Astyanax mexicanus: one gene and its partner. The protein of the gene in region 2 binds, or shares a complex with, the protein of the main gene of each other region. Links are inferred from orthologs where the notes say so. Each region holds a gene or a part of one and is shown on either strand. Other genes may lie near its edges.

The links.
Region 1: cdhr2 (region 2) and anks4b share a complex: the UniProt entries of both Homo sapiens proteins name them as parts of the IMAC/intermicrovillar adhesion complex. The link is inferred for Astyanax mexicanus from reciprocal best matches to the Homo sapiens genes CDHR2 and ANKS4B.

The regions. Positions count from the first base shown.
Region 1 is NC_064426.1:32,610,244-32,626,930, reverse strand, and holds anks4b (ankyrin repeat and SAM domain-containing protein 4B), read right to left. Parts: upstream 6,664-16,687; 5' UTR 6,527-6,663; coding exon 6,366-6,526; intron 2,716-6,365; coding exon 1,590-2,715; 3' UTR 1,139-1,589; downstream 1-1,138. Other genes in the region: peroxisomal membrane protein PMP34, read left to right, coding at 9,333-9,407, 11,694-11,754, 13,421-13,487, 14,060-14,214, 14,764-14,880, 16,030-16,175. UniProt on the Homo sapiens protein: As part of the intermicrovillar adhesion complex/IMAC plays a role in epithelial brush border differentiation, controlling microvilli organization and length. Plays a role in assembly of the complex.
Region 2 is NC_064426.1:2,351,687-2,368,261, forward strand, and holds the start of cdhr2 (cadherin-related family member 2), read right to left. Parts: upstream 8,629-16,575; 5' UTR 8,451-8,628; coding exon 8,448-8,450; intron 6,579-8,447; coding exon 6,521-6,578; intron 5,514-6,520; coding exon 5,445-5,513; intron 4,648-5,444; coding exon 4,511-4,647; intron 4,414-4,510; coding exon 4,360-4,413; intron 3,541-4,359; coding exon 3,451-3,540; intron 2,336-3,450; coding exon 2,246-2,335; intron 1,123-2,245; coding exon 994-1,122; intron 909-993; coding exon 765-908; intron 675-764; coding exon 599-674; intron 1-598. UniProt on the Homo sapiens protein: Intermicrovillar adhesion molecule that forms, via its extracellular domain, calcium-dependent heterophilic complexes with CDHR5 on adjacent microvilli. Thereby, controls the packing of microvilli at the apical membrane of epithelial cells.

The DNA of each region.
Region 1 (16,687 bases), about 30 Mb from region 2:
AAATAATATGGACATTTATTAATGGCTTGTGTATTTAACAGTAAAAAAAAATATTAATCACAAAAAATGAATGTAGAAATTACGGTTTTGGCTGTTATCTAAATAATACGGAAATGTAATAATGGCTTGTATATTTAACAAAGAAAAAATGTATTATTCACAAAAAAATAATGTAGAAATTACGGTTTTGGCTGTTATCTAAATAATACGGAAATGTAATAATGGCTTGTATATTTAACAAAGAAAAAATGTATTATTCACAAAAAAATAATGTAGAAATTACGGTTTTGGCTGTTATCTAAATAATACGGAAATGTAATAATGGCTTGTATATTTAACAAAGAAAAAATGTATTATTCACAAAAAAATAATGTAGAAATTACGGTTTTACCAGTTATCCAAAAATACGGAAAATTTCTGTTATAAACACAGTGCAAGAGAATTTTACGTTGAAATAATGTATTTTTTACAGAGAAAATGTGTAAAAATTAGTGTATTGGATGATATATGAATTTACGGTATTTTGTTGTTACCGAAACAGTATTTAGCCTTTTTAGCGTTTACAGTCTTTTACTGTCATGGTTTGACAGTTTTTCACCGTAAATTCTATGGACATTTTTTACAGTGCGCATTCTGTGCGCTTTTACGCAATCGGTGCGTAATTACGCATTATGTGCGCTTTTATGCATTCAGTGCGCTTGTACCCATTCAGTGCGTAATATTGTTACCGTTTACGCATTCTTTGCACTTTTATGTATTTTGTGCGCTTTTGGGCATTCTGCTGCATGCTTTAGGCACTGCATTATTATGCATTTTCAAACCATCTGTGTGATGCTGTACAAGACTCTCAAGACTTATTTCAGCTATTATTTATAGACATTAAACCCAAAAATGAGTAGCTGTAAAGATAATTGTAAATAATTAGATCTTAAGTCTTAAATGTTGTTAATATTTTAAACAAGAAATCGTATCTTTAAAAAGGAATGATTGTTGGAGCATTTCTACTGGTCTGTTTATTTTATGTATTTCGTGCGTAGTTTTGTACAATGCCTTCCCTGGACAGATATTCTTTCAAAACCAGGGCAAATTCTTTGTTAATACCCTTAATTTTAGAATAATCAATGAAGAAGCTGTCCCAAAACTTTATATCGTGTTTATTTGTCAAAATCAAAAACATTACAGGACATTAAATCAATATAGCACACAGTGTACAGCAAGGGTCTCAAACCAGGTTCATTCCATAAAGACTGCTAGGAAAGCTGTGGCTCTCTCTTTATTTTTTGACAATGTTGCAAAAAAACGTTACAATGTTGATGTTAGAAATAGCTTTTGACTTTTTATGAAGTTCTGAGTATAGCTTCAGGGAGCTTGCAGGTTTTTTTTTTTTTATGTCTTTATGAAAATAAAGTAGATGATGAGCTGATTGAGATCTGTTAAATTAGGAGAAGTTAATACTACATTCTGTGGAGCTTTGGTCCAGATGGTACCAAGTTTGACACCCATATGCTATGAAGAACCGATAATTAAATAATTCAGAGGGTTTCGGATTAATTATTGTGTAAATGTTCGTTTATTTGTATATCCTGGCGTTACAGAAAGGTGTCCTTCATGACCCCAGGCTGCTCCATTACTGCTTTCCTTCTAGCTGCTGCATCCAGAACTTTTTTGCGAGGTCCTAACTGGATTCGGATGCTTTTGAGGTCGTCGTCTGAGCAGAGCATTAGTGCTTCCAGGTCTAACTTCTCACGGACGAACACGGGCGCAAAGTCCAGCAGGTTTATGGAGCTGAGGAACGCGTCCAGGGGCGAAGTCTCCTCTTCATCCTCGTCCAATCCGATCTCTTCTTCGTTCCAGGGCAGCTGAGAATCCTCCTTTGAATAATCCTCCAGTCCATCTTCTTCTGCATCAAACACCTCCTTGCGGATGAGGAAGCCGAGGTCCTCAGTGTCGCCGCTTGGAAATTCATCTGGTTCCATGCCCATTTCCATGGAGAAATTCCTTCGGAAAACCATGTTCCCAAGGCCAGGCCTTTTGAAAATGGACTCTTTTGCTTGACCGGCACCTTCTTCATCTTCTTCATCATCGTTAAAACCTCCCATTCCGTCCTCATCCTCTTCATTTTCTTCATTTTCGTTAAAGACGTCCACAAAATCCGGCTTCTCCGCGTTCCCATTCTCCTGCTTTACGAATATGACGTTGCTGTCTCCTTGTTTGCTCACAGTTCCCTTGTCCTTCTTCCCAAATTTGCGCTGCAAAGTTCCTTTGATCGTCGAGGAGATGGACCCAGTTTTATCTGCAGCAATAAGCTTGGAGAACTGCTCGTTGCCGCTGGTCATGGTGGCGGCGCTCGCTTCGGACACGCCAGACACAGAACCACCGCCGCGGTACATCTTGTCCATCTTACTCTGGTGCCTCTTCTTGACCTTCTCGCACTGTTTCACCCTGACTTCTGCATCTTTCACAGCCTGCTTCTTCAGCTGAGCCACCCGTTTGGCATTCTGGCTGGTCTGGTTGGAGGCGGCGCTGTCCAGAAAACGAACGCAATTCATCTGGTCCCGAGATGCGGCAACGTCCATAGGAGTGTGAAAGTCATTGTCCAGAGCGAAGAGATTGGCTCCGAAGTTGACCAAGAAGCTCAGGACGTGCATATGTCCATTGGCGGCCGCGTGGTGTAGCGGTGTGTTCCCCCAGATGTCACTCAGGTTGGGATCTCCACTGAAACAACAACAAAAAAGATGATCATTAAGGGCTACAGTCTTAAATAGGCTACCATGGTAAATTTTATTTACCTGAAAAGATCTAACAATAACCTTCTCATTTAAGATGTTTAAGATTCCAAAATTAATATTAATATTATTATCTTGATCTGATATTTTTCTTTTAACATTCCAAGGAGGATCGAACGCAATAAAACAACTTTTCCGTTCTTCAAGTTCAACTTTTAAAACTTTTGAAGAGAGTTAATGAACCACTACAAAACTTTACAGAGCTTTTGCCCAGATGGAACTTAGTTTGACATATTTTTCCTTGTGGAATAAACTGGCAAAGCATTCCGGAAATTCCAGGTGAATTATTGGAAAACATGTATGCATATCCTGACATTACATAAAGGATTAAATATAAGATATTTAAACTGAATGGATAAATCATACTTTCATTTTATATAGGGAGGTGAACAAATATTTAGTTAAAAGTTAAGTTTCCAAAAAGAAGGCATCCTGTATTATTACTGTTATTCAAAACGCGACATTAAAATACCACCATTACTTGTAACCTACAGTCCAAAAAGTAACAAAAAAGACTTCGGCACAAAACATGTCTTTGTCAAATGAGTTCTTTTTTGTGAACTATTTTAACGTTAAACATTTTTAAATGAACTATTTTGGAGGTACAATGTTTTGTTAAAACAGCAACATTTATTCCATTGCTCTGCCGTCTGCTCCGTTTTATTGTAGCTTTTAAACATATTTACTATCTACTTTATTGTAGCTAACATAATATAATAACACTGAGTATCGCGGGTTAATCTGTAACCATTAAGGGCAAAGGTCTGCGTGTAGATTCTGTCTACAATATCTGCAACATCTTATCTTGGTGCGAAATATCTTCTCTTAGTTCCCAACAACAGTTGATTGTCCTAATACCACAAATGCTTTTTTCTGAGTTTAAATTAGGTATTAGGAATGGTTCTGAAATAAATAAATTTAATATATACATGCTGTATGATATCAAAATATGAATGCATCAAAGAATGTGTAACATATTTTCCTTGCTTAGTGGAAGTCTTAATATTGGACAAGCTACAGGAGGATGAAAAGCGCTATTGTTTTACATTTACATAATTCACTTGCCTCATTAAACGCTTGGCATCCCTAATGGGAATACCAAGACTGAAAAGAGAACAATGGCCATCACTGACACTTGCTGCATTTTTGGTAGTAAAATAATGTTTATTTGGTAATTGACCAAGACACCCACAACATATTACTGTCTGTAAGGTTTATAGACCGCAAGCGCACTGAGTTTACATTCTTTTAAAAGGGATAAGGAGTAATTACATGTAGGCTACCTTTGCTCTCTGTAAAGTAGCCTGATATGTAAAGTGGTAAAAAAGAACAGCAGTGGTTTGGCTGTACTCAACAAGATGTGATTCAAGTTGCAAGTTTGCAAATTTATATAAAGATAAAGACATTAAAAATAAAAAGTATTTCAAATGTTAAATTAATTTAAATAAAATAGGATCCAGTGAAATCCTCATTTCCAAATGATATAAATTCCAAATAAAACAATATGCTGTTGGAAAAAAAAATTGTGCTTTAAATGGAACACACATAAAACTGCATATGTGTGAGAAGAATAAACAGGTAGGAGTCGGTTAATTTCTCATTAAATGCTCAGTTTCCACTGTTCACATTTTTTGTTTTAGAGCACCCCACATTGTAACTATGGAAGCCCATTCCCGCCACCTAAAAAATAAAAATACTCCAGCAATTTTTTTTTATTATTATTAAGTAAATTGCTATCTCAATATTTTGAGATACTATCTCAATATTTTGAGATACTAAGTCAATATTTTGAGATACTATCTCAATATTTTGAGATACTAAGTCAATATTTTGAGATACTAAGTCAATATTTTGAGATACTATCTCAATATTTTGAGATACTAAGTCAATATTTTGAGATACTAAGTCAATATTTTGAGATACTATCTCAATATTTTGAGATACTAAGTCAATATTTTGAGATACTAAGTCAATATTTTGAGATACCTTAAATGCTGGCTGAATATACATGCGGCCACCTGTAGATAATGACCTGGGAATTAGGCCAAAAGTGAGAGCAATAACGTTTTAATTCATATTTAATTTTATTTACATTATATTTCACTCAGAGTTAAACTCTGTCCCTCGCATTGTGTTCTCCCCTTTATTCAGAGCGTTTGCACAGCACTTTGCTTACATGCTGTTTTTTACTGTTAAAATGCGCCATCTACAGGCGGCCGCATGAATGTTCAGCCAGCATTTAAGGTGGAAAGGAAATCTGAATAAGACACTGGCGAATAAGAAGCTAACTTCAGCCTCGTCCAAGATCCGGAGGCTTATTTTGATATTGTGTGATTCCTCTAAAAGTTCCAATATTTCATGATTTGTGAATCCACGTCTGAAGTAGTCCTCAATGATGGTATCCATTTTGCATCTTTGTCTCACCTGCTTCTGTCTCTGTACAGCCTACTAGTATCTCAAAATATTGACTTAGTATCTCAAAATATTGACTTAGTATCTCAAAATATTGACTTAGTATCTCAAAATATTGACTTAGTATCTCAAAATATTGAGATAGTATCTCAAAATATTGACTTAGTATCTCAAAATATTGACTTAGTATCTCAAAATATTGAGATAGTATCTCAAAATATTGACTTAGTATCTCAAAATATTGAGATAGTATCTCAAAATATTGACTTAGTATCTCAAAATATTGACTTAGTATCTCAAAATATTGAGATAGTATCTCAAAATATTGACTTAGTATCTCAAAATATTGAGATAGTATATCAAAATATTGACTTAGTATCTCAAAATATTGAGATAGTATCTCAAAATATTGACTTAGTATCTCAAAATATTGACTTAGTATCTCAAAATATTGAGATAGTATCTCAAAATATTGACTTAGTATCTCAAAATATTGAGATAGTATCTCAAAATATTGACTTAGTATCTCAAAATATTGACTTAGTATCTCAAAATATTGACTTAGTATCTCAAAATATTGAGATAGTATCTCAAAATATTGAGATAGTATCTCAAAATATTGACTTAGTATCTCAAAATATTGAGATAGCAGTTTACTTAATAATAATAAAAAAACATTTTGCTGGATTTTTTTTTTTTTTTAGGTGGCGGGAATGGGCTTCCATATGTAACAAAAATTGTTACGTTATTGACAATTTTAGTTTACATAAAAAAAATTAATAAAACAAAATAGCTGGGGAAATATAATTTACTTATTTTTTGCGTTTGTAAAAAAATATTACAGTTCACACAAATTAACTTTCCACAGATTCGCGTCGACTATTTTCTATTTATATCTGTAAATCGCTGCGCTTTACATTGCACAGATATGAACGGCAGAGTAGTGTAACCTGGGACGCAAAGAAAAATTACGTCGCTTAAAACAAACACTTCGCCGAAATTAAATACTTCTCAGTAGTTTATCAGTAAGAATATTTGTATATTGGTAAGAAAAGTATGTTTTTTACATCTTAAAAGTGCCGGCTTTTTTTTTTTTTTATCGTTGCCATTATTCCAAAAACATTATAAATGTCTTTTTTTTATAAAAGTGTATAAAATAAAGCTTACCCTCTGCTGCAGATAAGCTGAAGAGCCTCCAGTCGTCCATGGTAAGCCGCCCACAGGGTTGGTGTCATGCCATCTTCGTCCCGAGTGTTCAGATCTTTTTTGGTGGCCTCCTTTAAAAGATCCAAATAGCCATCGATGGCTGATTTATGATACCTAGACATGGTTAGACAAACAAAGCTCGCTCTGAACAAAATAGAGAACTATAATTGAGCAGACAGCTTCAGAAAAACATGGTTAGATCCTTCAATTCCTGTTCTCTCTCAGCTCAGAAATTAGTGTGGCTGAATTTTCCAGTCGGTGCGTCATTACCACCCAGTCAGAGCCATAAAACTAAAGCAAAGTCCAGCATCTGCTGTGGGTTTGGGTTTGTGAAGAGATTGTGATGCTCGATTGCTGAGAGGAAACAGGTCATACAGATAATCGTTGCTTATTTTGTCCTCTGTTCCGAATCATTTTCTTATACTATGTTAACCGATATTTCAGTTTCATTATTACACGAATACGAATACTTTTATTGTCATTGCACAAATACAACAAGGTTCAGTGTGCTCTCCTAAGAATATGATATAAGGAAAACAAATAAATAATACATTCATGTGCAAGGTAACTGCAAGGTTCGATTTAGAAACAATATATACAAACAGTTCAAGGGAGTTCAACTGAAATAGTCCAGCTGAAGGAGTGCAAATATGCAATATGATGATGAGTACTATAAAGGAGGTAAAAGCCCAGTATCAATCCTACACCATCAATGCACTGTGCAGCATGTGCTTCTTACATTAAATTACATTACATTACATTTAGTGGACGCTTTCATCCAAAGCGACTTACAAATAATGATGTACATAGAAATAGAAATAGAGGACTGTCACGAGAAAGATGGATGATCACAAGCCATCAAATCAAGCTGAACTGCTTGATTTTTTATGCACCAGGAGTGGCATAAAGCTATCCAAAAGCAATGTTTAAGACTGGTGGAGGAGAACATGCCAAGATGCATGAAAACTGTCTTTATGAATATGAACTTTTTTTTTTTGCATTATTTGAGGTCTGAAAGCTCTGCATGTTTTTTGTTATTTCAGCCATTTCTCATTTTCTGCAAATGAATTCTCTAAATGACAATATTTTTATTTAGAATTTGGGAGAAATGTTGTCCATAGTTTATAGAATAAAACAACAATGTTCATTTTACTCAAACATATACCTATAAATAGTAAAATCAGAGAAACTGAAGTGGTCTCTTAATTTTTTCCAGAGCTGTATAAAACACCGATCCAGCAGGGGGAGATCTCGGCTCATTCAGATTGGCATTCCTCTTAAACACGCGGAAATACTCCAGATACTCTGCCACAGCTGCTTTATTAAGAGCCTTCTCACTCCCTACCATAATTTATATTATATCAGAGAATTGCTGCGAACCCGTAAAGGCAGAACGCGTGAGTCCAAAATAAATGAGGGTAAAGGGAGCTAAAAGGCTAAAATCTATAGTAATAAATAGTAGTTATTCACTTCAACAAATGCGATGACAGTGCAGAGCATCTACAGCTCTGGCTTTAGTGGAAATGTTGGTTTGTAACGATTCCTAACATTTTTATAATTGTAATGAGTAATGAAATTTTAAAAAGTAAAAGAGGAAGTATGAGAAACAAAATACTCCATATACAGCATTTTAGTACTTAAGTACAGTAACTAAGTATTTCTACTTCTTTTACAATTTCATTTTAGAAAGTATAATGATGCATTTTGTTAAAAAATATACTTATATATTTATGTTATTCTTCAGTAAACTGGGTTTAGGCAGTTTATAAGGCCAGTTTATAAAAAGCTTGGTCAGCTTATGATGAAGTTAATAGTCAGAGCTCTTGTGTCCACTATAAAGCACACAAAGGAGTTAAATTTGCTGGTTTATGGGTGAGATGTGTTGTCAGCATAAATGTTTTGTTTAGCTTTTACCTTTTCGGTTGTATGTTTTTTTTTTATATGAATTTATTAAAAAAAAATCCTATTTTCTCCCCAATTTACAAGGCCAATTACCCAACCCACTCATTAGGACTCCCCTCCCCTCCCCTATCACTAGTGATGCCCCAACACCAGGAGAGTGAAGACTAGCACATGCTTCCTCCGATACATGTGAACTGCTTCTTTTTGAACTGCTGCTGATGCAGCATTGCTGAGTAGCATCTCAGCGTGCTCCGAGGAAAGTGCAGCGACTCGATACACCAGCTCACAGATGCCTTGTGCTGATCCACATCACCATTTGGAGTGATGAAGGGAGAGTGCCATCTACCCACCCAGAGAGAGCAAGGCCAATTGTGCTGTCTCAGGGCTCTGGTAGCTGATGGCAAGCTACATAAACAGGATTCGAACCAGCGACCTCCCGATCACAGTGGCAGCGCTTACTCCGCTGGATCACTGCGGTTGTATGTTTTAATGATCTTGGATGTCCTTGTTTGTATTATGATGTTTTGTGGAAATTAATAATAATAATAAAAAAACTTAGAGCTATGAATTTAAAACGTTTATAACTAGAGATTAAAAGCTTTAAAATACATGTTTTTTCTTTTAGCACTGAAACATGTGATAATATTGTCCTGTTTTGACAAAATGATAATATTTGGTCGGTATGAAAGTTACTAAATATTAATAAAGTCTGATTTTGTTTAATTGCTCCATAGGAACCCATTTGTTTTGGACTCTCTCGGTAGCGCCCTCTAGTGGTCAAACGAATCCTGAACACATTATGAAGTGGGTGATCTCCTCTGTATCAGATACTCCGCAGTGTAGTCACACACAGTGAATCGGTGAATCTGCAGAGCCGGGGTTGTGTTTGTGTTGTCAGTGGTGGAAATCCTGTGAAATCCAGGCTGTATTTATCTGAATCTGCTGGGATTTGGTTGAACCAGTCTGAGCTCTTTATAGCCTGTATTTTCCCGGTTCCTGAGCGCTGCTGAGAGACGCTGAGCGGGAATGTCGGGGAGCGGCGGAGCGGCGGAGGCGCTTCTGTCTTATGAAACTCTGGTGCACGCTGTGGCCGGAGCCATGGTAAGACCTCACAGCTTTATCCTAACTAATAAGTTATACACAGCTCTGGAATAAAATAAGATAACGTTAGCACTTAAAAAGAATACGTTTCTTTAATTTGACCTAATTAAAAACCTCTGGAATATAATAAAGAGGAAGATGGATGATAACAAGCCATCAAATCAAGCTGAAATGCTTGAATTTTTGCACCAGGAGTGAAGGCATAAAGTTATCCAAAAGCAGTGTGCAAGACTGGTGGAGGAGAACATGCCGAGATGCATGCTAAGATTTCTGAACTCTTAAAAGTTTTTTTTGGCCAGGCAGTGTAGATACAGTGAGTATCTACAAATAAATGATTAAAAAAATCATACATTGTGATTTCCAGATTAAAAAAAAAAAAATTATTATGTCTCTCACAGTGGACCAGTGGACATGCACCTAAGATAAATATTTCAGACTCCTCCATGATTTCTATGTGGGAGAACTTGCAAGACGAAGAAGTCACAGGGTGTTATACTTATTTTCCTCACTGTAGTACTATCAAGTAATTGAAGTTTAACTGTAAGTTTGATCAGGTTATCACTAGCACCACGCCACTCTTCAACTTATACAATATATGTTTTAAAGAATCCTCAAACCTTGTTTTTTAAGCAAATGAATCTACTTTACAGTGCACACATTGCTGACAAAAAAAAAAACCTGCCCAGCTCAAGCTGATCAAGCTGGTTAAGCTGGTTGATCAGCTTAGCTCTTAACCAGTATAGGGTTGTATCTATGTCTTTTTTTATTTGGGTTTTATGGTTCAGATGACCTACAAGCGTGATCACGAACCTTACCAAGGTAAACAACTAGTATAACCAATCATGCTTGTTGACCAGCTCAGCTCTAAACCAGTATAGTGTATCTATGTTTTTCAATTTCCGTTTGATGGTCTAGCTTTTCTACAGGCATACTCAATCATTATACCCAAGCTTGATCATACTTGTCAAACAGCATGACCTCTACAACTAAGCTTATTGACCAGCATGACCAAGCTGATTGAACAGCATGACCAGCACAACTAAGCTTGTTGACCTGCAATGACTGTCCAGTTTTGGTGAGCTTGTGTGCACTGCAGCCTCAGCTTCCTGTTCTTGACTGACAGAGCAGGAACCCAGTGTGATCGTTTGCTGTTGTAGCCCATTTTCTCCTAATTTATTTAGGCTAATTTTCCCACCCATTCAGCTGCTCTTTAGCTGTTACTCAGCTGTATATCCCCCATCACTAGTGATGCCACAATACAAGGAGGGTGAAGACTAGCACATGCCTCCTCTGATACATGTGAAGTCAGCCCCCGCCTCTTTTCCAACTGCTACTGATAATGCAGCATTACTAAGTAGCATCACAGCACTCTCGGAGGAAAGCGCAGTGACTTGGTTCCGAGTGCCATCTACCCACCCAGAGAGAGCGAGGCCAATTGTGCTCTCTCGGGGCTCCGGCAGCTGATAGCAAACTACATGATCAGGCTTCAAACCAGCAGTTTATTAAATAGTCTAAAGCAATTAAAAAGTCTAAAAGTAGAGTGTACTTCATAAAATATTCTTTGTTAGATAAAACACTGAAACATGAGTCAATTAGTGTTTTTGCCATTTTTGGACTAATATTTTCGGTTGCCAAATATTCAGTGTATGTCCAGGTTTTATGCATTGTACTGTTGCCACATGACTGGCTAATTAAAGATTAGCATGAATGATTAGATGTACAGGCATACCAAATATATTGCCTAATGAGTGTATAATGCCCTGCTGATAGAATGTAATGCAGGGGTTACAGGGGTATAAAGGTTCCCTTTTCTCATGAAACTCCCTATTATATAATTGTAGAACAAAGATTTTAACTGCCATAAATATAATTTATGTTTTTTTTTATGTTTTGTTAAAATAATAGCATAGCAAACAAATTACATACATTATATTAATGGCAGTTAAAAAGATTGTGTGATGTGTCTTCAGACATTTGGACATAGAGTATGAGATTACATAGATCATCTTCACTGCTCTATATGTTTGTTTGTGTAGATTTATGTTTCTTACTTTTACATGAATGCTCACAGAGTCTGTAATATTCATACATTCATTCATTTTAGGACACCATACATAGAGTACTAAGGTATAACCTTGTTGTTGCAAACTTCACCTTTATTTTTATTAAATAATTCTTAATGAGTCAAGGATCATGTACTTCTTAAATAAATAAAACTTAATCTGAGATCCTAGAATTCATTTTCCTTATTGACCACTTAGTGATCAACTATTCTGCTGTTCACAGGGCAGCGTGACCGCAATGACTGTGTTCTTTCCGCTGGACACAGCCAGGATCAGGCTTCAGGGTGAGTTGATGCACTGTTTACTGATTAGCGGGTTTAACAAAACTGGGACTTTGCTCCTGAGGATTGTGAGTTCATCTTTACTGTTGTTTAAAGGAATTGTTCACTGAAAAATACATTTACATAATTGAATTGACACAGAGTTTCTGTGAGGGTATGTAACCTATTGACTTGGCAGGTGGATTTTATCTATAATGACTGACTCAAGTGGGATAAGAAATCCCTTTATAAATTATAGAGGCAGGAGTGGCAACTCTAGTTACTCATCACTGAGTGCGTTTACATGCACTCAAAAATCTGTTCAAAATTACAGTTGTTACTGCTTCTTCGGCAGTCCCTCAAAACGAGTATGGCGGTCCTCCATAGAGCCTTTATTTATTTGTGGATACTAAGGTGGCTACTTATTACTGCAGTGATCTGATTACCGTATTTTTTAGACTATAAGGTGCATTATTAATGAACGTCTATTTTCTGGTCTATTTTTATACATAAGGTGCCCTGGATTATAAGGCACATTAAAGGACACTAGTAAGAAGCCTACATTGAAGTGAGCAAGAGTGTCCCCATGTTTCCCTTCTAATGGGAGTAAAAGTAAAGTAAACAAAACTGTAATTCAAAAAAAAAAAAGTCAAACGAGCACTGGATGTTAATCTACACAGATTTCTGAAAATTCTTAATTTGGGTGAATAAAGGGCTTCCGTTTATTTACAGTAAGCTTAGAACTCCAGTATTCCAGGGTTAGCGCTAGCCACAGTTAACAACATAGCTAGCCCTGGTCAGCAGCGCTAATCAGCTCTGGTTAGCAGTATAGCCAGCCGAATTTATTCAGGCTACCCAGCTGATGTTTACGTTACGTCTTATTCTTTGAGTTTATTGGCTGGTTGCAAAGCAAAAACTGCAAAAAGAAAAAATACTTATGTAAAGTCTGAGTTGTCCCATTATCTGAATACACAAATTCATGTAAATGTGTTGATTACTGATTACTCTGATGTTCTGCAGTAATCAGATTATGGAGTGCATGTAAACGGGCTTAAAAAGATACGTCTGCAAAACTTCAGTACATAATATTTAGTTTTGCAATGCTGTATCGGTTTATGAAAACTTAAATATTATTTGTTAGTTTCCTTGTAAAGATTGGTGTCAGACAGTGGTTCATTTAGTGTTCTGTTTAAACCCCATCCACTAGATATCGGTGTTATACTATGTCATAAAAATTCAAATTTTTTGATTGGATAAAAAGTAAACATTTCTATTATTGAAACTTCATGGGCTTATTTTCGTGGCTTGCGCTATAATAGATAAAAGCATTTTACTGATTGATATAAGAGTGCACAGTAGCGGGACTGAATCAGAGATCCTCTGTTAATAGCTATATTACCTCACCTCCCTGTATAAAACTAATCCCGTCTGAGTAGAAGTTAGAACTTTATCATTTTATTATGTTAGCCTCCTAACTTTAGTAGAAGACAATATAAGCAGACTTTGGACACCAAACATGTGTTGCCCAATCTTCTACAATTAGGTAAAAGGGTGAAGTTGAATAAACTGGGCTTTTCAGTGAACCCTGTGTTTATTATTGTATTTTCTGGACCTAGAATATCTAAATGAACTTAATATTATTGAGTATTAATTGAGTTTTGTTTATTCGCTGTTTGCTGCTGTGATTCAGTGGACGAGAACCGGAAGTCCAAATCCACTCCTGTCATTCTCTCTGAGATAGCAAAGGAAGAGGGGATGTAAGTACTCTGTATTACTGTATCATAGCTCAATAATACAATACATTGACCTAAATATTATAATTATAATCTTACACCTCGAGTACAGACGTTGGAAATATCAGTTCTAGTCATGTAAGAAAATGTTGATATATTGAAATATTGTAATATTTAGTTTTGCAATACTAAAATCTTAATTCTCAAAAACACAGTATTGATTTTTAATTATGGCAAACTTTGGTTCATTAAGTGTTGTGTTTAAAACCCGCCTATAGATAGTGGTGTTGTTTTGATTTCACAAAATATTAAAATACGATGGTGTCTTTTCATAAAATTGGATATAAACCTTTGCAATACATCTCTTGTTTACATTATCACAGTATAATGTGATATATTAAAGTGTAACCCCTGTATCATGCACTGATAGAGGAGTTACAATCCTGTAATAAAGTGCTGAGGTTTTGTGGCATTGTGTGATTTGTATAGACTCCCTAGGAAATCCCACAATTACATAATAAAAGAACTACATGCACACTCAAGTAATCAAGATCACTAATTCTCACTGTTTTACTGGTTCCTCTTTGACTTTGCAGAATGTCTCTGTATCGAGGCTGGTTTCCGGTCATCTCCAGCCTCTGCTGTTCTAACTTTGTCTACTTCTACACTTTCAACTTCCTGAAGAAAGTGATGATCCACGACAAACGGCAGTCCAGACCTGGAAAGGACCTCGTCATGGGCTTCATCTCAGGTGGGAAACGGCATACAGAATATTCTCTATAGCTGCGTTTCAAAGTCTTCTCGGTAGAACTGTCTGTCCTTTAAATCTCCTTCTCAGTAGCCTGTTGGTCACATACTTGAAATTTTTTGAAAGTTGAAAAGTTTAATGTGGCTCAAACCTCAACATCTTAACAAACATTATAAAACAAACTCTGTTCTGGATGCTCCATGGTGCTATTTTACTGTTCTGCTAATTGTGGGTAACTGATAGACATGAAGGATACATCAGCCGCGTCCTTCAGATTGCTCCAAACAGCATTTCTGCATTCTCGACAGCATTTCACAGCTATACATATAAAGGATTTTTCATTTTGCATCCAACCTCAGCTGTAGGCTTTGGGACGCAGCTAACGATTCCTGCCATATGAAAAAAACTTAATAAACACAGTTTGGAATCTACCAGAATGTCTTAACAGCTTAGTTGTTTGCTGCATAATGAAAGCTCACAAATAAACCAAGAAAGCTGAAACATAATGCATTTAACCTCTGTAACTCAGTGTTGTTGTGTCTGCTGCTCAAGGGGCTGTAAACGTGCTCCTGACGACGCCGATGTGGGTGGTGAACACTAGGCTGAAGCTTCAGGGAGCCAAATTCCGGAACGAGGAGCTTCACCAGACCCACTACAAGGGCATTTTTGGTCAGTCCGAAGAGCACTGAAGAACACCTTACATATTCACGCCTCCACTGAGGTATAGACAGTCAGTAGAATTACTTTCTGTGCTGTGTCTGCAAGAAAAAAAAAACTGAGTTTTTTTTAACTCTATATATATATATATATATATATATATATATATATAAGAGGGGTAGGGTGAAGAGTTAAGGCTACACGGCCACCAAACTGAGTTTTTTTTTCAGATGTTTTCAGTTATAAATCAGTGGCAAGACGGCTGCACAAGTGATCAAAGAACACCCAAAATTTCAGTTATCATTGCGTTATCATTATTTCTGTATAAAGGCCTGATCCCATTTCTTTTTCATACCCCTACCCCTTGTTTTTGAGCCTAACTCTTCCCCTTTGAACAAAGTTACCAGAGAAAAGGGTGAAATCCTTCTCTTGAGAATAGGCACAACCTTCAAGAACCTTGCTTCTGGACTTTTTAGGGCATTTTAGGGCAGCAATTAATTATTACTGTCCATTGCTTAATTCCACTGTGATTGGGAGCTACAATTAGTTTATTATCTTTAATTTCCTTTCATTTTTCCATTCCATTTCCTTAAGTGATGTTGCCTCTGCTGTCTGCTGTAACATGGTGGAATGTAAAATTTAGATAGCTAATAAAATTACTGAATGACCACGGAATTCAGAGAAAAACAGTAGGTAATTCAGCCTGTAATCTGAGAACATCTGAGAAAAACACATACAGTATCAATCCAGTTGGGAATAAGATCACAGAGGACCCCCATAAAAGAGAAAATAAAAGAAAAACTAATCCCGTCCGGATAGGGCTTAAGTGGTAGAGCCAAGGAGTGAAATTTAAAATTTAGTCTAAATGTAGTTTCTAAGTATCATAGAACTTTACTTCATAAAGAGCATAGAGTGTTAGTAGTAATTTCCCATTCCAAGCGAAAGAGTAACATTCAAAAACATTCAAAAGGTGCAGGGGTACAAATGAGAAATGGGATTGGGACTTTGTTCTGAATAAATGCAAATAGCTCGATAGCTACTGTTGACAGCATTATAGAGAGCTTTACACAACCCATATTTGGACAAAATAGATCAATTTAGAGTTTTTTTTTACATTTTAAAGTTGTATTAAAAGATCTCCACTTTGTCCTCTTCTCCAAGATGCCTTCTCCCAGATCATCGCTAACGAGGGAGTGGGAACTCTGTGGAACGGCACGCTCCCGTCCCTGGTGCTGGTGTTCAACCCAGCGGTGCAGTTCATGTTCTACGAGGCCATGAAGAGGAAGGCAGGGCGAGGCGGAAGACGGGTGAGCTCTTTACTGTTTTATAAGTGATAACACTCATTGTGATTAGATTAGTTCACTAGGAAATGTCTGTAATAAAATTTAAGAGATAAAGCTGTAGACATTAATCTCTCACTTCCACAAATACAATTGTAGGGGCTTGTATTTTCAAAAAGATAAAAAAAGGTGTAAAAGTTCAGAGTTACCTCTTTTAACATGCCTCTTCTAAAGAATGCATTCAGCTACTTTAAAGGAGAAATCTGGTGTGAAACATGGAAAATACACACAGTACCTTGAGGTAGTTCTACAAATGAATAGATAGGTTAGGGGAATGTACTTTACTGTAAATTTGTTTAGTGGAAATGCAGAAGAGCTGGAATTCATGCATCTCTTCCTTTATCCTATCTATTAATTTATGCTTTGAAATTAATTTGACTTATTGTGACTTAATTTCAAGACACCCGGAGAACTACCCCAGTGCCTCAGAATTCTACCACTAAAGTGTGGAGCTACTCTGAGCTTGTTAAGGGTGTAAA
Region 2 (16,575 bases):
GTAAAGTCAGTGATTAGTGCTCTCCTCCAAGTGTGTTGAGCATCTCAAACATGCCTCACCCTCAAACAGGCTCGACGCTACCAGGGGAGCCACTTTAGCACCTCAGAATCCCCACATACTGCCACATACAGTATTGTGCAAATGTTTTAGGCACCCGTGAGAATTTTTAGCAAAGAAAAAGCTTCTTATCTGAGCAGTAAGTGTTTATTAGCTCAGTAAAACACTTATAGCATTACAATAAATACATCAATTTTACAAAAAGCAAAAAGTTAATCTCTCCTCCTCATCTGAGTTTAATAGAGTTATTTATTTCTAGTTCTTATCATATGAATCAACAACTGTTTTGGTAATACATTTGGTTAATTTGGTAAATCAGGTGAGGAAGCTCTAGACTTTGTTCTTCAGCTCGGCTCACAGGATAAAACATACTTATAGTTAAAAATGATTTCTCCTTATGTTTTACTGTATGTATGTTTGTTTGTATCTGTTTAAATCATATGTGTTGTTTTTTCAGGCAAAAACACTTATTATGCTGAGATAAATAGATTAGCGTGATTCGCTTTGGTGCCTAAAACTTTTAGGATTGAAAAGTGCTCACCTTCAATGCTGTAATAGATTTTGTCATTTATTCCTGTATCTGGATCTCTGGCTTGGACCTTAAATACAGATGTTCCCTGGAAACAATCATATATCAGATTAAATATTACTTCAGTGGTGTTTCATTCGTTCAATGGGTGGAGTAATACATAGCAGGTGCTACATACCACAGCTGACTTCTCATTGACGGTGATCATGCTCGGCAGGTTTACGAACACAGGATCAAGATCTGGAACATCGATCACTGTGATGAAAGCTGTGGTGGGGGTCCACTGAACCACATGGTTTCCAAATAACTCCCCACCACCATCCTGTAAAGAACAAAGCACGGTTATCGTCCAATCAGGTAAAGCAACGAGCGATCAGACAGCATTCTGATGTAGATGAAGCACTCACAGAAGCGTTGATCATAATCTGATAAAACACGCTTTTATCAGTGAAGCTCATCGGCTCCAGCAGTTTGATCGCCCCCATGTCTCCTTCCTTGGAGATGGAGAACATGCCTATACTATCAGACGGGATGACCTGAGGACAGATACCAGAGGACAGGATGTTAAACACGAGACAATAACTCATTTATAACGTTATTGTCATGTTTAAACTCATTGAAATATAATTCATTAAAATAAAAAGGGTTGTACATCTACATCTTTTCCTTGGTGGTTGCTAAGGTGTTTTACTGGTAGTTGCCACGGTGATTGCTATAACACTTCAACCCACATAGCAAATATATACGTTGGATCAACGTTGGCTCAACATCATTGTTTAGGTTGGTATGACGCTGGCTAAACACGTTGGTCCAACGTCATTTTGGCCAGTCTACGTTGGTCTGAAGTTGGGTGCCAACCAATGTTAGATGTTGGGACTACGTTGGGCTGACGTTCAGTGCCAACAAATGTTAGACGTTGGGACCACGTTGGCCTGACGTTGGGTGCCAACCAATGTTAGACGTTGGGAATACGTTGGCCTGACTTTGGGTGCCAACCAATGTTAGACATTGGGACTACGTTGGCCTGACATTGGGTTGGGTGCCAACCAATGTTAGACGTTGGGACTACATTGGCCTGATGTTGGGTGCCAATCAATGTTAGACTTTGGGACTACGTTGGCCTGACATTGGGTGCCAACCAATTTTAGACGTTGGGACTATGTTGGCCTGACTTTGGGCTGGGTGACAACCAATGTTAGACATTGGGACTACATTGGCCTGACGTTGGGTGCCAACCAATGTTAGACGTTGGGACTACGTTGGCCTGACTTTGAGTGCCAACCAATGTTAAATGTTGGAACTACGTTGGCCTGACTTTGGGTGCCAACCAATGTTAGACCTTGGGACTATGTTGGTCTGAAGTTGGGTGCCAACCAATGTTAGACGTTGGGACTACGTTGGCCTTTTCTCTCAAGTGGTAGCTTTAGGTGTTTTTGCTGATCACAAAGGTGTTGTTTTGATGGCCCTAAGGTGATGGCTGCTAAGGTGTTTCTAGGTGGAAGATAAGGTGTTCCTACTCTGTAGGGTTGCTAAGGTGTTTTATAGGGTATTGGTAGTTACGGTTGCCTTAGGGTTTCTAAGTTATTTTACGTGGCGGCTAGGGTCTTCCAGATGGGTCACCAAAGTGTTCAAGGTGGTTGCTGCGGTCTTTCAACTTACATCGTAGATTGCGTAACTGACGATTCCAGCCGTGTTCTGGTCCTCATCCGTGGCATAGACGGTCAGAATTATACTGTTTACAGGCGTGTTCTGCAGAAGAGAAACATATACATGTACATAAGTCCGAACATTTTACCCCACATTTTTTCACCAATATTTTCATATTTTTATGCCATTTGCTCTTTAAACAATAATTGAACAGGAAGCTCCTGGACTGCAGGGTCATCAGCCAGGCAGCACCAATTGTACTGGTTTTGTTAGGGGTAGATTGTGAAGTTTTCTGGCAACCTCAGCCAGCAGTAAGAGAGCAGTATGAGTCCTTCTAAGCCTGTCGGGCCAAGGTATCGCCGAGGCCAAGACTGCAGTGTAATCAACAGAGATTAGCAAGAGAATTACCCAGCCTCACCCTCAAACAGACTCGACGCTACCAGGGGAGCCACTTTAGCACCTCTGAATCCCCAAAGAATCACAAAGTACACAGTAAAAAAAAAAAACAGTGTTAAAAGAACAGTTTTCCTAATAACCCTCAGTGATGAACAATCCACAGAGTTGGTGTTATTATTCAGGGTTAAAATAGTGTCTATTTTTAAAATGTGTCTGTGTAAAAAAAAAAGATAAAAAAAAAGAAAATATCCAAAAATAAATTTAATCAAACTTAAAAAAATAATTAATTACCAATTTTAAGAGTTGTTTTACCCTGTGGGGTAAAATTTGTTAACACTGATGAGAGTTACATAAAGTTAATATATGACTCCATATGGTGTTGAATTAACTCTATAGTGATTATTTTCATGCTATAGTGTAAAACGGAGTGGGATCATATCTTATCTTGGATAGCGTTACATTAAATTCTTTAAGAGTTAATTTATTGTGTGTTATTTTTAGCTTTAACTTAATTCTTTTAGGCTCCTATTTTTTTATTCTACTTTTTTATCTTTTTATTTGACTGCTTCAAATTTTAGACTGTCCACATTTATTCTGAATTATTTTATTTCTTCTTAATTTTACGTTGTATGCAAAGGGGGACTTGCACTGTTATATATAGTTAAATACTGCTATGTATGTTTATATGTTTATATGTTCAGACCAGAATTCTCTAGTTTTTTTTTTTTGCATCATCACCAGAGAAAAAATACACAAAAATATAAACAGAGATATTAATAAATGGATAAACTAAAATGAAAAAGAAAAGAAATAGGACTCACCTCTTTAACTTTAATGTTGTACGGTAGGTTCTGGAACACTGGCGCATTGTCATTTGCATCGTCCACAATAATGGTGATGTCTTTTGTGACCTGAAAAATAAAGCAAGCAGTTTTACACAGTTTTGCTAAGTTTTTAAGACATTGCCTTTGATTCTTTATCAAAGGTGCTTTATCGGTGGTTGCTAGGGTGGCTGCTATGACACCTTAGATAGTTGATAATTATGTGATTTTCTAAAGCGTTTGCCTGGGTATTTTAGCTGTACGCTTAGGTGTTGCCAACTAAGGGGTAGCTAGAATGTGTTTGTCCGTAGGTGGTGGCTATGACACTTCTAAGGGGTTTCTGTGTGATTTGTGAGTGGTTGCTAGGGTATTTTAATCTATTCTCTAATGTGTTGCTTACTAAGGGATTGCTAAAGTGTGCAAACACTTCAGGTAGTTGCTAAAGGGTTTCTATGTGATTTGCTAAAGTGGTTACTAGGATATTTCAGTTGTTCACTAAGGGGTTGCTAAAATGTGTTTGTTTTAGGGTGGTTGCTATGATAGATCAAAAGGGTTTCTATGTGATTTGATAAAGCGGTTGCTGGTGTATTTCAACTGTTCTCTAAGGTGTTGCTAACTAAGGGATTGCTAAAGTGTGCTCAAGGTGCTTTATCCGTGGTTGCCATGACACTTCAGGTAGTTGCTAATGGGTTTCTGTGTGATTTGATAAAGCAGTTGCTGGGGTATTTCAGGCGTTGACTAAGGGTTGCTAAGGTGTGTCTTGGTGGTACTAGGATAGTTTCTAACGAGTTTCTAAAGATTTGCTCAGATGCTTCCTATAGGTATTTCAGGTGGTTGCTAAGGTATTTTAACTAGTTGCAGTGGCGTATGATCTCAAAATCCATTGTGTTTTGCATGAGTTGAACTTACGTCAGAGTAAACTCCGTCATTAACGATCACTTCCACAGTGAAGAACTCTCGAACCTGAGGGGGGAGATAGTCCGGCAGGTTGAGGCATTAAGACTCAGTGCAGCTCAGTGTGTTTAGTGTTCAGAATCTGGGTTCTTTAGTCTGGACGTACCTCTCTGTTCAGCTGATTTTTGATGAAAACTCCGCCGGTGGCAGAATTCACAGTGAAGTAATCGAACCGGTCTCTTATACCGTACGTCAGCACGTCATCATCCGGATCAAACGCTTCAATCTGGAACGCAAATTCACCTGTGGAGCAGAAAGAGCTAAAGTTCAATTAAAACTGTTAAAAAAAGCAAAAATCGAACAACTGTAAACCAGATTACACTGAAAGCTTTACAGTCAATATTCCTGTCCCGTGACTTCTGGCATGTCACTGTATGGATAGATAGATAGATAGATAGATAGATAGATAGATAGATAGATAGATAGATAGATAGATAGATAGATAGATAGATAGATAGATAGATAGATTTGCAATTGCAATGGAGCATGAATAAACTACAAATTATAATTATTAACAATAACTATAAATATATAATATATTCATTATGAATAATACCGTCAACTATAGATAAATATATCTTAATTAATACAAAAATGCAAGAATACATACAAAGAATCAAATACAAATATACATGCATATATCGCTCCCTACCATAAAGAGAAAAAACATAAAAATGATTTTAAAAATGCAATACAATGATTAAAAAAGAACAATGTGCAAGAGATGTAAGTATCATCAGAAAAATGATCAAGCAGCTTAATTATCATTCATTTCTAATTTTTACTGATTTTTTTTAAATCTGATCAGCTGAATTTGGGGCAGAAATTAAATTAAATTAAATTAAATTAAATTAAATTAAATTAAATTAAATCATAAATAAAATGCAAGTCATTATTAGAGACTGAAATAAAAATAAAATAAATAAATAATAAAATAAAATAAAATAAAATAAAATAAAATAAAATAAAAGTGCATGTCATTATTAGGGACTGTGTGATTATTGATCACGTGACTCCAGTGTAATGGGTAAAAACTCTACCTGGGAGTTTATCTTCTCGCACATGCTGCACTACTTTCATGGTGATGGTCGGCACAGTCTGGCAGTAACCTAAAGAATAAACACAGAGTGTTAGAACAGCCGGAACACACGAAGAAATATATAAAATAAAGCTCTCTAGCCACTTTTCTGCTTCTATAAACTGATAATGACTATAATGACTACATTTCCCATAATCCACCCTTCTCTGTGCCTTTTCTGTCATGTGCACATCTTCAGCCAATCAGGGAGAGTTCCCTCAGTCTCAATTACTTGATTTTTAGAATTGTACACACTTACTATCCTCACAAAACCATAGACATCCCAAAACGCCCTAAATCCAACTGCATGAAGCACAATTGACGTCTATAGTATAGATCACTAAAATAGGGAGGGGCCTTGGTCTTTCTTTACCTGATGAGAGCCAGTTTCATCATAATGTTTTTGACGATCTTTGGGGCTATACTTTTAAAAAACATTGACTGAACATTACTGAAATATTCACTATTCACTGTATACCTGTAACTCTACCTCTTCACTACTTTACTTTAACTGATGCTCTCAAACACTTTATTAAGAGACAAGAAATTCAAGTAATTAACTCTTGATGAGTTCAGCACAGCTGTTAACTGAAAGCCTGAATTCCAGGAGACTCTACCTCATAAAAATGACTGAGAAAATCCAGCAGTGATGTTCAAAACTGTCTTATCTAAGCAAGAGGTGCCACTATGAAAAACGTATAATATAAAACACACTTTGTTCTTTACTAAATAATTTCATATTTTTTTTATTCGAATATTGGGTGAATTCATTCACAACAGTTTAAAATACAAAAAGAAATTCTGAATTTAAGGTTTTCAGTTTTTTTAGGGAGCAGTACGATGTTCTTCTATCAGTAATATACAGGTAATAAACACGTTTCTTCCGCATGCCATTTCAGCAGTTATAAATAAGACTGATAATAGAGGCTCTGCATCATCATGAAATTGCTCAGATAATATTCTGGACTTTGGGCGTTTGCTGTGTAACAAACAGTAAATCTCAGCTCATCTGTTTTAACCTGCTTCTCACATACTTACAGGTGATAAAGAAGCCTAAGAGCAGAAGCAGCGAGTTCCTCATTCTCCAACCGTCCGACTGCAGAGAAACAGAATCACGTTAATGTGATGATAAAATTAATCCTATAAACTCATCATCTATAAAAACATTTCTCTCATATTCAGTTATTATTCTGAAATGAAGCAAATTAACTTCAGAATATATATATATATATATATATATATATATATATATATATATATATATATATATATATATATATATATATATATAAACCTCTGGAATATAATCAAGAGGAAGATGGATGATCACAAGCCATCAAACCACCAAACTGAACTGCTTGAATTTTTGCACCAGGAGTAAAGCAGCATAAAGTTATCCAAAAGCAGTGTGTAAGACTGGTGGAGGAGAACATGATGCCAAGATGCATTAAAAAAAAACTGTGATTAAAAAACACCAGGGTTATTCCACCAAATATTGATTTCTGAACTCTTAAAACTTTATGAATATGAACTTTTTTTCTTTTCTGAAAGCTCTGCATCTTTTTTGTTATTTCAGCCATTTCTCATTTTCTGCAAATAATAATAAAATAAATTATCTAAATGACAATATTTTTATTTGGAATTTAGGAGAAATGTTGTCTGTAGTTTATAGAATAAAACAACAATGTTTATTTTACTCAAACATAAACCTATAAATAGCAAAATCAGAGAAACTGATTCAGAAACTAAAGTGCTCTCTTCATTTTTTCCAGAGATTTGATAAAATATGATACACTTACTGTTACATACACACTCTTCTCGTCAGTTAAAAAAAAAAAAAAAAAAAATATATATATATATATATATATATATATATATATATATATATATATACTTCAAGCTATTTTGGAGCATTTGTATTGGTCCATGCGGTTCATAGCATGGGTTTTTGTGCAACAGCCACAATTTACAGAACTATTATATTCACTTCAAACGTATATTAAAGAAACCAACAAATACTCATAATATACAAATCCCTTTCTGTATATGCACATACAAAACTTGTGAATGAACTTGATTAATTCCTTGTAGCTGTTAAAACGCAACTAACAAAAAAAAAAATGCAGTTGAATGTCATTTAGATGTATTTGTTTATTTTGTTTATTTAATTTAATTTTGGAGCATATCAATTGGTCCATTCATCTTGAAAATTGAAAACTAAATAAAAGAAAAGAAAAACTGTCATATTTATATTTGTTTAATTGTAAGTAAGTAAAATCGTTAATTTCTTTGTGTCTACATGACAATATACAGTGTTTTTTATAGTGTAAGTATGTAAGAATTACATAGTAAATTATTGTAGTTAAAAAAAACATGTATCTCAAAAACTAAACTCAAAAACTAAGTAACGTTACAGTTAAGTCAATGTAAAAAAGTTTATTTCAGGTCATTTTGAAGAATTTCTATTGGTCAATCTATTCAAAATAAATAAAAGAGTGTGAAGAGGGACAGTTTGTGTATTTAAATTCTGTAGTAAATTCAAAAGTTATAAAGTTACGAAATATTTGTTTTTTTTTAATTGGACAGTGATGATATGTTTTTTTTATATTGGATAATGGATGTTAATAGTAGAAGGTGTTTAAATGTAATTTTAATTTATATAATATTGGTCCATTCATCATAAAATTTTGAGACAATAATAAAAAACAACAGTCAGATTCACATTATGTCAAAAACATAAGAAGAAAAAAACTAAGATAAAATTTTTGTGATGCATTTGTGATGTTCTCTTATTATTTATTTATTTATAGCAAAAAAAAAACATATTTTTTATATGTAACTTAGTAATGTACTGGTTTTAAATTTAGACTATATAATGTATGTCAGCACAAATGTTTTATATGTCTGTAAAATGCAGAAATATATATATTTTTTTATGTTTTCTAAGAGTATTAAAGGAACTCACCATCTCGGCTGGTGTTCTGGATGCTCCTCTGAAGGGTGTGTGGGTGGACTGAGGCTGTGGAGGCACCTTTGCCTGAGACAGATCTGTTGATTGCCGTCTCGCTGCTGTAAACGTATATCATTAACACGGGAGCAGCACGGGTTAGCTCGTCTGAGCTCCTCACACCCCGCACACACACTCCACACACACACACACACACACACACTTCACACAAAGCAGCTTAACACTGACAGCAGCTCAGCCGGTCAAGAGTGGTCGAAGCAGCTAAACAAATGTCACAGCAAATCATGTTCCACACACACCTACCCAACACAGGGGGTCATTTACCTGTCAAATGCTGCAATCAGATATAATCAGATTATATACCAGACCTAACACAGGTTCATATGAGGCCTAAATTAAAGCTAGACCCATACTGCTCCATAAACCATTTGATTGCACTGTTTATAGGCATGTGTTTGAGCAAAATTAACATTGTTGAGCATTTACAAATAAGGAAAAATATTAAAAAATAAGGAAAATATGTAATGCTTTCAGACCTCAAATAATGCAAATAAAACACTTTCATATTCATAAAGTTTTAAGAGTTCAGAAATCAACATTTGTTGGAATAACCCTGTTCTTAAATCACAGTTTTCATGCATCTTGGCATCATGTTCTCCTCCACCAGTCTTACACACTGCTTTTGGGTGACCTTCAAGTAGTTCAGCCCTGTTTTCATGGCTTGTGACCATCCATCTTCCTACTAATTACATTCCAGAGCTCTACAACAGTCTTATATACTCTAATCCTGACTGTAAGTGTTATATACCAGGCCTAAAACAGTGTTATATACTCTAATCCTAATTTACATGTTATATACTAGGCCTTAAACAGTGCTATACACTCTAATCCTAATTTAAGTGTTATATACTATAATTCTAACTTGATGTTATATACTTGGCCTACAAAAGTGTTATATACTCTAATCCTAACTTAGTGTTATACACTAGGCCTATCACTCTATTATATACTCGAATCCTAACTTAGTGTAACATACTCTTATCCTAACTTAATGTTAAATACTAGCCCTACAACAGTGTTGTTTACTCTAATCCTAATTTAGTGTTATATACTAGGCCTAGAACACTGTTATACACTCTAATCCTAATTTAGTGTTATATACTAGGCCTAGAACACTGTTATACACTCTAATCCTAATTTAGTGTTATATACTAGGCCTAGAACACTGTTATACACTCTAATCCTAATTTAGTGTTATGTGCTGTACTCCTAATCTAATGTTATATACTAGGCCTAAAAGAGTGTTGTGCACTCTAATCCTAACTTAGTGTTATATACTAGGCCTAACACACTAATATACACTCTAATCTTAATTTCTTGTTATTTACTAAGCCTAACGCACTGTTATATACTCTAATCCTGACTGTAAATGTTATATACTAGGCCTACAAAAGTTGTATACTCTAATCCTAATTTAGTGTTATATACTAGGCCTACAACAGTGTTAGATACTATAATTCTAACTCCTACAAAATGTTATATACTAGGCCTAATTCAGTTTTATATATGAGGCCTAACACATGTCCTAGAAGTACTAAACCGCCAAATAATGTCCTATACCTGATCCTGGTCCCACAGAAGCAGTGTGATGCTCCTCTGTCCTGTTTACTGGAGTCCTGTCATATCAGCAGGTCCTTTTCTGGCATCAAGGAGATAAGAGGAAGATTCCTCTTAAACAATATCTTCTCCATTATCTGTCAGCTCCTCATGTTTGTGATGCTCCTGGTCTGACAGAACCCCAACACATGGGTCACGATGTGAGCTCTGGATAAACCCCTCCTTCTCTGGAACTCACACTAATGAGCTTCTCTTCCCGTCCCCTTGTCCCCTTGTCCCCACGTCCCCCCATTAGAGCTTTATAATGAATGAGACATGAATGGGACCAGGGCCATGTTTCATTGCCAACAAAAAAAAACAACAACAATGGTGGGCATTTCTCTAATGACCCCAGGTTTCAGGATAGAATACTGTAGTTCACTGTGTAAGGCTGAGTATAAACTGCATGCCAAAAGTCATAGGACAGTAGAATTTCAGTTGATATAAAAGTGTAAAACAGCAGGTAAAGGCTCAGGATTGCCCACATCTATATAAGATATTGAGTTGAGTGTGCTATTATATTATGAGTGAGGTTGAATAACACTGACCAACATGCTCATGGCAAGGCTTAAACATATTGATGTTCTAGGCCAAGCGGTTTCCATCCAAGAAGGTAGACCCTGTCCCTGTTCTACCAATGCTTGCATGAAGCTGACTGAAATTTGGACATGGACAGAGAAAAACCCCTTTTTAGGAAAGTTTTATAATTAAAAGAGACAAAGATGTTCAGAGTACTAGAAGGTGAGACATTCAACCCTAAAGATACAGTACAAACTGTTAAGCATGGTGGTGGGAGCATCATGCTTTAGGTCTGCTTGTTGCCAGTGGAACTGCTATATCACTCAAAGTAGATGAAATAAAGAAAAAAAAAATTCAGCATAACCTCAAAGCAATATTGGTTTAAACTTGGACACAATTGGGACAATTTGAACACACAAAAAAAGATTTACTACTATTTCAGTACTACTATATCGCAGTAGAAGGAACAGTCTCAGTGTTAATCTAGCTGAGCTGAAGACTCACATGTTGTAAAATATGTATTGAACCACTAGACAAGCTACAAAACATGGGTTATATGCTCATAAACACTGTAAACTACATAATAAAATATATAAAAAATATTTAATAACACAGAGTGAAGCCCTGTTTTTAACACAGTGTTCTATAATAAGCCTATTTAATGTTGTATATGACACTGTGTCAGACAAAGCACTGTATATAACATATAGGCATATAGGCATAGTATATAACACTATGTAAGCCATAGTATATAACAACACATAGTATAACACTATGTTTTTTACATAGGCATAGTATATAACACTATGTAAGCCATAGTATATAACAACACATAGTATAACACTATGTTTTTTACATAGGCATAGTATATAACACTATGTAAGCCATAGTATATAACACACTTATATGCAGGCATAGTTATAACACTATGTTAGTCATAGTATATAACACTGTGTTAAATATAGGCATAGCATATAACACTGTGTTATATAAAGGCATAGTATATGACACTATGTTTTTATAGGCATAGTATATAACACAGTTGTAGGCAAAGTACTGTATATAACACTGTGTTATAAATAGACATAATATATAACACTGTGTTTTATATAGAGGCATAGTATATAACACTATGTTATATATAGACATAATATATAATACTGTGTTTTATATATAGGCGTAGTATTCAACACTTTGTTAGGCAAAGTATATAACAGTGTTATATATAGGCATACTATATAACACTGCTTTAGGCAAAGTACTGTATATAACACTGTGTTATAAATTGGCAAAGTATATAATACAGTGTTATATATAGACATAGAATATAACACTGTTATATATAGACATAATATATAACACTGTGTTTTATATATATAGGCATAGTATTCAACACTGTGTTAGGCAAAGTACTGTATATAACACTGTGTTGTATAGATGCACAGTATATAACACTGGTATATATAGGCATAGTATTTAATACTGTGTTAGGCATAATATATCACACTGTGTTATGTATAGCCATAGTATAGAAGACTGTGTTTTATATATAGGCATAGAATATAACACTTTATTAGGCATAGTATATAACATTATGTTATACTGTAAAAGTTACCATTTACCAATACAAAGTTATAAATCAAATAAAAATAAATGCAATTAACATATCAAATCATAAAATGGGTTTACTGTAAAAACACAAGTGAAACTCAGCTCTGCTGGGAATATTTCATAAGTTTCTAATCTTATCCTCTTAGACTTTGGTTTATTGCAGTCTGCAGAGTTTACTCATCTAGAGGAAATACGGATTATTAAATAACAGTGAAGATGGGCACAGCCTGTCCTGATCTGAGGATCCACATCATTAGCATTAGCTACTTTACTTTTTATTAAATATCTAATATAGTGAATGGAAGTTAAGGAGAGTGTTATTTTCAGTGTGAATCTCTCTGTGTGATCTGATGATTAACTGAGCTGTGCTTTAATAACAGGCTGTAAAACAAACATATCCCCTGAATCTGATAAGCAGCGCTCTGTGTCGAGCTGGGCTGTGTTTATATTTTATGGTTGGTAACAGAGCATCCTCCTCTCTATCGAGCAAAGGTCACTAACTGAGTTCTGAATGTCATTTTATTTTATTATAATGCTATAATACACTGATGTGATAAGACGTGAGTGATGAAGCTCCACGTGTGATCATCAGATCACAAACTGTTGTAATCTGATCTGGTGCCACGTTACATGCAAACATACAGCCTGAGAAACTGAGAAGCATTTTTAATACATTTACAGTACTGGTGTCAATCGATTAAAAACAATAATCACGATTAATCACACATTTTTCTTTTGTTTAAGTTTTAAGTGTAAATGAATGTAAGATTGGCCAAATTAAATGATTATTTATTTATTTATTTAGTTAGTTAGTTAGTTAGTTAGTTAGTTAGTTAGTTAGTTAGTTAGTTAGTTAGTTAGTTATATTATTGTTGTCTATCACCTAAAAATGTCTTCCATTAAAATGTAAAATGCTGATACTTAAATTATGGTATAAACCAGCATCTGTTTTACTTTACTATGTCTTATGGTACTTTTGATGCTTTTTTAAATTAGGGTCCAGCTGTGGCTGTGTGTTTATATACATACATATATATATATATATATATATATATATATATATATATATATATATATATATATATATATATATATATATATATATATATGTGTGTGTGTGTGTGTGTGTGTGTGTGTGTGTGATGGAGAGACAGAGAGCAAGAGACATATTAAACATTAAATCCATATTTTAGCATTAATAATTAGTGTCTTACCTTCTGAACTTGACAATAGAGACACTGTGTTTAAAGTTTGAGTCAAAAAGTTACTCTTCTTATACAATATATTTCTTTCTGTTTATGATTTTTAATATTATGGCTGTACAGGAACACATGCAGAGTTATTTATGAATAAAAAAGTCTAAAAGAATCGAATATAAAAAGAATATATGTTATACTTTAGATTCTTTTAAATAAGTATCACATTTATATTTGAAAACAGATCTGCACACATTTGGTATTTTAATCTGTGTCTTTATGAGGGAATTATATTCTATTCTTCACCTGGAATAGTTTTCTCAGCGTCTTGAAGGAAGGAGTTTCTGGAGGTGCTGAACAATAGTGGGTATTTCTTTTTAATCATGATTATTTAGTGTTTAGGAAGGGCTTATAAAATAAAAAAGTCAATATAAAATAAATTCACTTTACATGCATATGTATATTTAAATGGGTTTTTAAAGGCTATTTTTCACAAATAAATTTGTTTGGTTTGTATTCTATAAAAGTCCAAAGTGGAACAGAGTTAAATCAGGTCTGCAGTGTTTTCCTCTGGCCTACACCCAGACAGTGTAATTTACTGGGCCAGTAGAGGGCGCTATAGAACACATTATTATAATAGACATTATTATAGGATTTTTTATACTGCTCACATTATAATGTGTAATGACTGCACTAACTATTTATTCAAAATATAATAATACATGTGTGATGTTTTATTATACATAGCTATAACCAAAAGCAATACATTAACAAATGAACAGATTTAAACCACAGACTGTTCTAAATTCATTTTAATAATAACACTACCACGTGTTTATCCTCATATAGCCTGCGTTATGCGTTTTAGTGGCAAGTAATTATTATAATTCTTTGATGTTGCTATTTATACGTATATGTTTGAGTAAAATCAACGTTGTTGTTTTATTCTATAAGCTACAGACACAATTTCTCCCAATTACTAATAAAATACTGTCATTTTGAGCATTTATTTGCAGAAAATGAGAAATGGCTAAAATAACAAAAACAAAAAAACGAAGTAGAGCTTTCAGACCTCAAATAATGCAAAGAAAGGTTCATATTCATAAATCCATTCAAATTCATAAAGTTGGCATAATTTTCTCCTCCACCAGTCTTACACACTGCTTTTATGCCACTCCTGAAATTCAAGCAGTTCATCTTGGTTTGATGGCTTGTGATCGTCCCTCTTCCTCTTGATTATATTCCAGAGCTTATCAATTTGGTAAAATCAAAGAAACTCGTCATTTTTAAGTGGTTTCTCATTATCCAGAGCTGAATATCAGGCATTATCTTTTGAATGGTATTATGATCTAATGATCTTGGCCGCCGTGCTGTTTGACACTGGGCTGGAGTATTACAGTAATTACGGTAGAGCGAGTCGTAATGCAGGGCGTCTTTAAAACGCTCCAAATAGGGGTAACTCTAATATATACGTTAATGTGCGATCAAACGGTAACTCAACCTAAACTAACACTTTTAGAGGTGTTTATTAACATAAATTGTTATGTTTAATGTTGTTACCGGGCAAAAATGGCACGTGTGTGGTGTCAGGTCGTGTTTTTGGTGTCTGGTGTTGTGTCCATTTGTGCTACCTTGTCAAAACGTGCTGTCGCAGAGTGTATTTAAAGAGACATTAAAACTAAACCATATATGTTTTTTTCATTAATAACTGAAATGTGTTTCTTTGAAGTAATTAAACATTTCAGTCTTGGTTAAACATGTCTGATTTGTATTATTTAAAAAGCAAAAATACATCCAGCAATCTGTATCACTGCACTAATAAACAATACATTAAATATACAATTTTCATATTCAGTTTATGATTATCTTATTGATGTTTATAATCTTATAAACATGAGCACAAAGAAAAAACTTTCACTAAACGGTACTCTATTGTACTTATAATATAAGATACAGCCCCAGCGTCAAGCTTCTGTAGTTATTTTTCCTATTGTGTATGGGGCTGCTAAGTGGTTGCTAGGTGGTTGTTAAGATTTTGCTATGGTATCTAAAAATTTGTATTTAAAAATAAGGAAATATTTTTCGCTGCCTGCTTTGAGCCGTCCCACCAGCCCAACCAAGGTTCAGTATCATAGTATCATGATATATTGTGTATAATTTATATTATTATATCTTATTTACATCTTTTACATCTTTTTTGTTGTTTTGATGTTGTTTCCGCTGTCAGCACTAACCTCAAGTGGCAGTTCTCGCGAGGTTAGTGACATATGTCAGTAACTGTTATATTTCAGTATTTATGTTATAGTATTATAGTATTTATATTTCAATATTTCAGTTTGGAGAGACACAGGAATGTTTTTATTATTATGAGATAATACAGGAAATGTACGGGAAAATGCTAATACGGGAGGACGGTGGGAAAGAGGATTAAAATACAGTAGTTTCCCGGCCAAAACGGGAGAGTTGACAGGTATGTGATGGTTGCTATGGTGCTGGTAATTGGTTACTACGGTGTTGATTCGCAATGCACAACCACAGTAATGTAACATAATAATAATGTTTTTGCTATATATTTTTTGTTTTAACACATTCTGAAAAAAAAAAACACATGACAAATGTGTGTCAGCGCATGCGCAGAACAGGTGAGAAGCACGTATCGAACCGTTGCACAAACCGGCACGCCACCGGGCTCCACATGTAGCCCCGCCGCCGCAGCAGTGAGTGGTGCAGTCCGCGGACTGTTCCACCGGGCAGGAGGCAGCCGGGGACGTTAATGCCGCACCAAGGGGCCGAGAGACGCGGCGATGGATTACACTGCGAAACGGGGAAATGTCGGAGACTGAAATGCGCGCAAATTAACAATCAGGTAACCGCCTGTCCCGGCTTTATCCATCTCGTTTATCCTCGGACTGGGAGCTCCGGCGGGAGCGGGCGGCGGGTCTGACCGCCCCTCCTTGCCCGTGTTGTTGCTGGGGGAGAGCGGGGGGACGGAGCCCGGCTGATGTCGTGTTTACAGCGGCTGTGAGAGCACCAGGCGCCCGCCTCACATTCACATCAGCCTGGGGTTGCAATAATATAGTTACTTTTTAATAAATAAATTAAAGAAACAAGAAATAACCCCCGAAACCAACAGTCCCCTATGT